Linked DNA regions of Drosophila melanogaster. The gene in region 1 interacts genetically with each later gene. Each region holds a gene or a part of one and is shown on either strand. Other genes may lie near its edges.

Evidence for each region. A genetic interaction does not mean that the proteins touch.
Region 2: of ninaA (region 1) and PAPLA1, changing one enhances a phenotype caused by changing the other (phenotypic enhancement), as found in Drosophila melanogaster (one study listed by BioGRID).

The regions. Positions count from the first base shown.
Region 1 is NT_033779.5:875,356-878,802, reverse strand, and holds ninaA (neither inactivation nor afterpotential A), read right to left. Parts: upstream 1,502-3,447; 5' UTR 1,442-1,501; coding exon 932-1,441; exon of another isoform or gene 834-931; coding exon 630-833; 3' UTR 533-629; downstream 1-532. Other genes in the region: CG15824 (uncharacterized protein), read left to right, coding at 30-411, 469-522; PNUTS (phosphatase 1 nuclear targeting subunit), read right to left, coding at 2,066-3,447.
Region 2 is NT_033779.5:8,156,568-8,161,204, reverse strand, and holds the start of PAPLA1 (phosphatidic acid phospholipase A1), read left to right. Parts: upstream 1-1,629; 5' UTR 1,630-1,772; coding exon 1,773-1,986; intron 1,987-2,418; exon of another isoform or gene 2,419-2,493; coding exon of another isoform or gene 2,494-2,961; intron 2,962-3,025; coding exon of another isoform or gene 3,026-3,188; intron 3,189-3,256; coding exon of another isoform or gene 3,257-3,668; intron 3,669-3,948; coding exon of another isoform or gene 3,949-4,143; intron 4,144-4,454; exon of another isoform or gene 4,455-4,637. Other genes in the region: Rbsn-5 (Rabenosyn-5), read right to left, coding at 1-388, 447-1,113; CG43394 (uncharacterized protein), read right to left, coding at 2,494-2,961, 3,026-3,188, 3,257-3,668, 3,949-4,143.

The sequences.
Region 1 (3,447 bases):
GAAACTCAAATAATATCAATATCCCTAAGCTCCGACAAAAAGTTCTCCTTCTGGGCTGAGAAGTGCACGGCACTGGAGTATTTTAAGAAAAAGTACAGGAATATGATGGAGCGACTGATGGACGCGGAGCAGGATCCCAAGGTGAAGCACGCCCACTCCTTTGACCTGGACACTATGGTCCAGCACCAGCGGGATCTGGCGCCCAAGGACCGACGCCTAATCGAGGAATACTACAACAGCCTGAACCGTTCCGTTTATCCAGACCACAAGCACCACTTCACGCTGGCCAAGATCTTCTCAGGCTGCTTGTCCAACTATTCCGGAGTGGACGTGACCATGGTTGGGCTCTTTAAGCCGGAGTCGCGGTTCTACAAGAAGGATCAGCACGTGGAGGACTACCTCTTCATCGATGTAAGTTACACTGACATAAGCTGAGCTAATCCTTAAATGCTAACACGTATCCCACAGTTGCACATGGGACCGACTCTTCCCATCCTACTGAAGGCCGTGCTCGTATCCTAGTGAAGTCCTTAAGATTTGTATGCATTTATTGTGGGTTTCATTCCATTCGGAGTGTATGGGGGCTTCTTAGTCTTATGTGCAGTAATAAAGCTTATACTCCAAAGTCCTCAGCAGTACATGTTGAGCTGGCGGAAGAAGTAGTGGAAAATGAGCAGAACGCAGAAGGAGCTGGTCACGGGCAGACCAGCCGCCTTGATCCATCCGAGGATGTTGAAGTCGTCCGGGTAGAACTCGAACTGCTCCGTGGGTATCTCGCCGCAGTTGGAGATCACCACGGGTTCCACGGGGAAGTCATCCGTATCGGTTTTTACCTGGAACGAAAAATGTGTCAGAAAAAGTTTCTTACATTTCTGTGTGGTGGCTATGCGTTTAAGCCACGATTGTGGTTCCGGTTTGCTTGAATACTCACATCCTCAATGGCATAGATGGTGTCCATTCCCTCCAGCACCTTGCCGAAAACGGTGTGCTTTCCGTCCAGCCACTTGGCGCCCACGGTGGTCACATAAAACTGGCAGCCATTGGTGTCCGGGCCCCGATTGGCCATGCCCAAGTAACCGGGTCTGTTGTGCTCCACCGCCAGAGCCTTATCCTCGTCCGGAAAGTAGTCCCCATAGATGCTAATGGAGCCAGTTCCGTCGCCGTTCACAATGTCGCCGCCTTGGACGAGAAAGCGGTCCACCACGCGATGGAATCGCGAGCCCACGTAGCTGGTCCCGTTGATGCCGCGCAAGCAAATGTGCCGGAAGTTGGCCACCGTCTTGGGAGCCAGCTTCCCGAACAGTCCAAACGTGATCCTGCCCACCGGCTTCTTGTTGTGCTTCACATCCATGTAGATCCGAGACGTGACCGTGAAGCTCAGACCACTGGCCACGGCCAGAAAGGCGCTGCACAGGATTATCCGATTGAGCAATGACTTCATGATTTTACGGACCTAACGCGCTGATGAAATACACGTAACTGAAACGAAGACTGGACTGTGGAAACTATACGAGTAGAAAGTCAATTCTGGGTCGCGGGCCTGGAAACGGAAGCCACAAAAGTTTCAGGTTAAGTGCAAGCACCGCATGATGATGGCATACCCTCTGCAGACATCGATTTCAGCACCCGGCAGCAAACATCTTGTTCGGTTTAATGGCAAACGTAATGTTTGGCTCAACTATGTTAATAACTAAAACTTCAAAAGTATCGTTTCTAAAAGTGCATTCAATTCGTTTCACTAAATAAATCAACTGCATTGGCTTTGCATCATATGACTTGATATTTAATTGTGTAAATTTAAACTTATAAATATTTAACCTTATGGTAATCAGCATAATAATAAAGTTAGCGGGGCAGGGAATTGAACCCAGATCTTAGGCTAAAAACTTAGGGATAGACTGCGTCTACACAAAAATATACCGAATACATATATACACTTAGATTAACTTGCGGCGGCTAACCTGGATACAGTCTTCATGTGGGGACTCGATTTCGGAAATCTTGGCCTCCGTTGCGCGTCTGAGATCTATGCAGCTGAATCTTCCGCAGAAGATTCGGGTAGGTCCTACAAGCGCTTCTTCTGCGGATGCACATACTTGCAGTTCTTGCCCATGTTGCAGTGTCCTCGCATGAACTGCTTGCAGACGCCGGTGTTGCCATTGCCTCCTCCACCTCCTCGATTGGGGCCAGATCCTGCTGAGCGCCAGTTGCCGCCGGAGTTCTCCTGGAAGTTGTTGCCCCCGCTGCGCCAGATGCCGCCGCCGTTGTTTTTGTTCCTGTTGTTGTTGTTGTTGTTATTCCTAGGTCCGCCCATCATCAGTCCTGGCCCCATTCCATTGGGCGGCCCGTTCATCATGGGTCCATTGGGTGGGCCGTTCATCATGGGGCCGTTGGGTCCCATCACTGGACCATTGGGTCCCATTACCGGTCCCGGACCTGGTCCATTCATCATCATGGGCGGGTACTGATTGAATCCAGGTGGTGGGCCGCTTCCGAATGGAGACACTGGACTTCCAAACTGATTGCCCATAAAGTTTTGCGGTGGCATGTTGTTCATGTTCATATTGCTCATATCCATTCCGGGGCCACCGGGTCCGTTCATCATGGGCGGTACACCGGGCGGCCCACCTACCGGACCCATTTGGTTCTGCCAGATTTGCGGCGTTCCGTTGGGCACTTGATTTGGCATCATGTTTGGTCCGGGTGGCATTCCCGTGGGAGCAGGCATGCCTCCCATGAACGGATCGAATGGATTTTGCATTAGGTTCGGTCCAGCTCCCAGTCCGGTCAACATATTGTCATTGAAGCCCATGTCCGATCCGCTGATATTTGCTCCGACTCCCGAGCTAGGCGCGTATTTCTTGGGCTCCGGCCACGCCAAGGCACTGTAGTCGTTGACAGCATCCGGATTCCCCGTCAGGTCATCCATGGGTATCACGGGAATGTCATGAGCAAAATGCGGTTCCAGTTCCGCCTCCGCAGGACTGTCGGGAATCATGTCGGGCGAGAAGTACAGGGCTCTTAGAGTGGTGGCCTCCCTGTCCATCTGCACCTGGCGCTGCTTGGAGAGGTTTCCGTTCGGGTGGTCGGGCACATTATCGACTTCGAGTAGTGGCCGCCACTCCATTTGCGGCTCCATGGTATCGTCGAATCCACGCCGAGCAATGGTCAGCGCGTCCCGCTCGCTGAATCGCTCCATGTTCTTCATTTCCAGGAAGGTCTGCTTCATCACATTTACGCGCTCTGAGCGATCGACCTCGAAGTATCGTATCTGGGTGAGCTTTTCCTCTGACTGCCAGGTTAGCTTCTTTTTCGGGCCCTTGCGGCGGTGCAGCGTGAGCACTCCCGGTGGTCCATCGGGTCCACAGCCAGGTCCAGGCTTCTTGGGCTCCTCGGGAAGATCTTCAGCGTTGTCAGAGGTGTTACCCGCTTCTCCGCCTTCTCCGC
Region 2 (4,637 bases), 7.3 Mb from region 1:
CGAATGGCCTTCTTTAATGCCTCCTCCCGGCTGCCTGGTTCACAAAATATGGCTAGAATGCGCTTGCTCCTCATGTCCATGGCCTCTGCCACTTGTCCAATCTTGCCGCGCAAAGCACCTGCATCCGCCAACGTGAAGATTGTGTCCCCTTCGTTCAAGCTATTGATGATCTTTAGATACATGTCCAGATCCGGGGTAACTTCTTTTTGTAGTTGACGAATTTGTTCGTAGACCTGGACGAGGAGTGGGCGACAAGTGCGACTTTCGTGCATATCCTTTCGGGTGTCCAGCAGCCAAAGGCAGTGTTCGCACAGCCGGATGGCGTTCTCATGCTGATGCAGCTGCTGAAGGGGCTCGCTTCTTGTGGTGGAAAGACTGGCTAGTTGCACTGCGGGATTATAATCAAATAAGTTACATTATTTTCCTCAATTATTGGATCTACAAACTGGCATCTTCCAGGGGCAGGAACTTGGAGCAATCATTGCACATTATGCCTCCGCACAAACGGCAGTGGTGTTGTCTTCGGGCGATGTGGAAACTCTTGGCACAACTGGGACACAACTTGACGGAACTACCATCCAGCCAGGCAACTGTTTGCTGTTCATGCTGACGCCGCTGCACTGAATCCGCTGGCAGATCCTTAAGCAGGCGGTGCAAACGAATGATTAGTTTGTTTGTTTCGCTGGCATATCGCTCCAGGCGAGGATTGCGAATGGACTGAAAGTACTCGAAGTGGGAGCACTCAGCACCAGGCTGCTGCCTGGCCATATAGTTAAATACATTTAGACGGGAGCGGGCATTACTGGGTCCATTGCGATCTCCGTTGCCATTGGGATTCTTGCCAGCCGCTGAAGAGGAGGAACCTGCGGGCGACGATACAGATGCACCTTTTTCATCCTCAAAGGGGTTTAGGATCTTCTTTTTCGCCTTGGTAAAGATATCTTTAAAGGATTTTAGGGCATCCTCCTCTTCCGCATGCTGGCGGGCAAAATGATCCGTGAGCACATCGATGGACTTGAGATCCGCACGGCAAATGGGACATAGGAAGCCCTCTAGTATCTCTCCACTGGCCGAGCTTTGATCTTCGTCGCTGTCGAAAGGATTTCCAGACATTCCGGCGATGAGTAATCGTAGTTAATTCGGTGGGTGTTATTTGTTGTGGTCTCCTCCCCAAAAAAAATTGACCCTAAGGTTTTCCACTTGTTTTAAAACAGTGGCATGACGGGGCTTACGGCACTTGTAGTCCTAAACTCGATTAATACGGTCAGAGTTTCTACAAATCCATTAATTTTATTTAAAAACTAATATTTGCAGAAATCATCAAGATTTATCTACTTCACTCTTCTTCTTCCCAAATTGCAATTCGAAATAATATCCGAGAATTAGGGCTGCAGCAAAAGCAATATTTGGCTATTTTTGCTGTTTATTTGGATTTTTGAAAATTTGTTTATGGTAGTCACGGAGATTTCATACTCTTTCCCAGTTAAAACTAGCTAGGAATATATATGTTATAAGCATATTTTGATTACCAGCTTTTGCCTATCCATTTCTGGATCCGCTGCAGCCCTGGTAAAAGCTTTCCATGGCGAATGGCCAATGCGCGGAAAGAAGCAGAATATTGCCTGCCTGGAAGTTTTCTCGGGTTTAACGCTTTTAATCCGTCGTGGGTGTCAATATCCTGTGTATAAAAATAATTCCTAAGGCAACTGTGCACTTGGCACACATCTTCATATCGAGTTAGCCCAATTTAAAGCTCCAGATCGGCCGCTAATATGTCGGAAAGATCGAAAGGTGACGTGTCCGCTCGCGTAAACAACAACGCAAACCAGACGCGTGTCGTTAAAAATCCGCTTCTGAGCGCCTCCGTGACCGGCCTGAGTTTCGACGACTTCCCCAACAAGCCGCAGCTCCTGCCAGCCGCCCCGCCCGTGGTCCATGCCACGCCTCCAGCGGCGCCCGTCCTCATCGCTGGCATCTTGAATCGCGGTAAGTGGGTCACCGTACGTTCGTGAATCTAACGCGGAGTGGGGGTCACCTGTTGCTCGGCTGCTATAATGATAAGCTGATAAGCCTGGCAAGGCACTTGACCTTCTTACCCTCTTCATAAACTGGGGTTGACTTTATCACGGATCAAGTTAATATAAACTACTTTCAGTGTATAGAGGAATGGGTCAGGTCAGCACTTATTTTGGCTTAAACAAATATGTATACCTACTACTAGCTGAACAAATATATAGATATATTATAATAGTTTTCCTAAATAAGACATTAGTTAAGTCCATTTAATCGTTTGAAATCACCGACATTGTTTATACTACTTTTTTTAAGTTGCACTTCGTTTCAGTAGTTTATGCAGGGACAAACAATTGTATCCTAAATATTTGCATACATTTAGTAAAACGGTGCCATATTGTATATCTGGTACTTCTATGGCATTTTATTAGACTTCGAGACCACATAGGTTCTAACTTGGCACAATAACATAACAACAATCTACTCCATGCTCCTAGTGGAGTGGGATCTATATGTGGGCAGCTCCAGCGTTGTCTTCCTCCGTCTGCAACACCACACAATGCTCCATATGAGGGCTGCAATAAGCAGGATCAGGAGAATGACTCCAAGGCAAATGGCTGCAATGGCGGCCTCGTTCAAATACACATCTCTGACATCGATGGTGAGGCTTCTCTGGTTCCCGGCCGCATCGAAAGCGATGAGTGATACCTTTGGTTCGCAGCAAGAGGCCATGTAGGTTGCCTTCAGGGGCTCTGTGCTACCAGCAGTATAATAGTTTCTGTAGAAAAGACCCTCTGGCGGCGAGGCCTGCAAACGCATCATGCCTGACTGCCAGTCCTGAGCGGTCACATCCACAGTCCAAAAACGTTCACCACAATTCTGGGATTCGGGCGTCAGGTAATCACAGCGGCTGCCAAACTCCCAGGATAGTGTAGGTCCAGTTGAGTCCTGGAAATTATATTTAAACATTTCAATTATGCTTTCATAATCAGGTTATCGGCTGTTCACATACCTGAGCATCTATGCTAGTCACCACTTTAAGATTTACCGCCAGAGTAGATGTTTCGCGACCGTAATTGGTGAAGGTAATCCGGTCTGTGGTGCCCTGAGCTGTGCCAGTGGGCACCAGAACAGTCAGACGCACTGTAGCCGTCTCCTGGGCGCGCAGGCTTAATCTACAAAGGCAGAAGTACGTAAGATATATAATGTGTAAACCAAAGACTTCGCTCTTAAGCGCTCCAACCTGGTAGGATTCAGTTGAACCAAGAAGCGCCGCTCGTCGGTGACTTGAATGGTGGAGTAAACCGTTTCCGTTTTCATGTTGGTGACCTCAAAGAGTAGCGTAGCTGTTTGACCAGCCATCACCAGCAGTTTCGATTCAATGCCCAACTCAATTTTTGTGCCACATCGCTGGAGAAGCATGGCATTTAGGGTGCTTCTCGACTGCCCAGTGCTGGGAGCTAAAAGCGTTTGATTCAGATTAGGAGAACTTTGGATTTCCTGCTCCGAAAAGGTTTCGATTTCGTTCTTCGGGGAGTCCACATCTTCCTCTAGCTTTTCCGTGTCCTTTTCCTTGTCGGGAAACTGAAGTTTGGCTGATTTGGCCTTTGTTTGTCCGGTTTTGTAGTAGCTGTCGATGCGTTTGATGATGTCGCCTGTGAGGGAAATAGAAAACAATTTCTAAATCAATTGCGCACACGTGTTTTTCTTGCCCTATGGAAATGTATCGATGATGGCGTCAACGCTGACGATTCCATCCAAGGTTGAAGCGCGGTTATCAGTAGAGATTCGTATTCATTGGGGCAAACGAAACAGATCACGGGCCCTTATCAGTCCGAAACCCAGTCTCAGAGCATTTAATTAGCTAACGGGGACTCAGTACTGTGTGGCAATCAATACCGCCAGGTTGTTTGTTATTTTGTTACTATAACTCACCCAGAAACACATCCGCTTTTCTTTCGGCGCGAACAAACACATTGTACTTGTCGTGCAGCTCGGGCTGTAACTTCAGTTTGAAAATCGACGCGCGTCGCAGCTTGTTTAGCGGTACGTAGGCATCAAGTTCTTGGTTATTTAACGTTTCCGTGACATTAACTCCGCCGAATTTCGCTAGTTTCTTCAAATTGATCTCTAAAAATTAGAAAAGCACAAAAATAAACAAAAGTCTAACAGCTGTTGACCATTCACAACGCAACGCGGACAGCTGTTACAGGTGTTTGCGCGGCGTTGCCAGACCATAGCATTGCGTACCACTTTTAATTAAAACATCATAGTTGTGCAATAAACATTCAATCTGTAAGCCATCAAACTTGTTTTTTATAGCCAAAATAATTATAATTAATGGACAAACATTAAATAAAGACATTTTGCGGTAATCTTTAGCCATTTGCGGGACCTTGGCAACCCTAACCCCGCAGCTGCGCCGTAGTTGTTGTGAAAGAAAAACACGTCTACAAAAATCCGCGAAAAAAACAATTGTTTTTCCTTGTAAAATTAGCAAATAACCTACGATTTTTGGCCGCTAAAGTGGTGACAAAGACGGATATTAATTGCCAGTCTAGATCAGTGCTGACGACATAGCCAGCCAGTGCAATACATCACCAAAAACTGGTCGCATTCTAAAT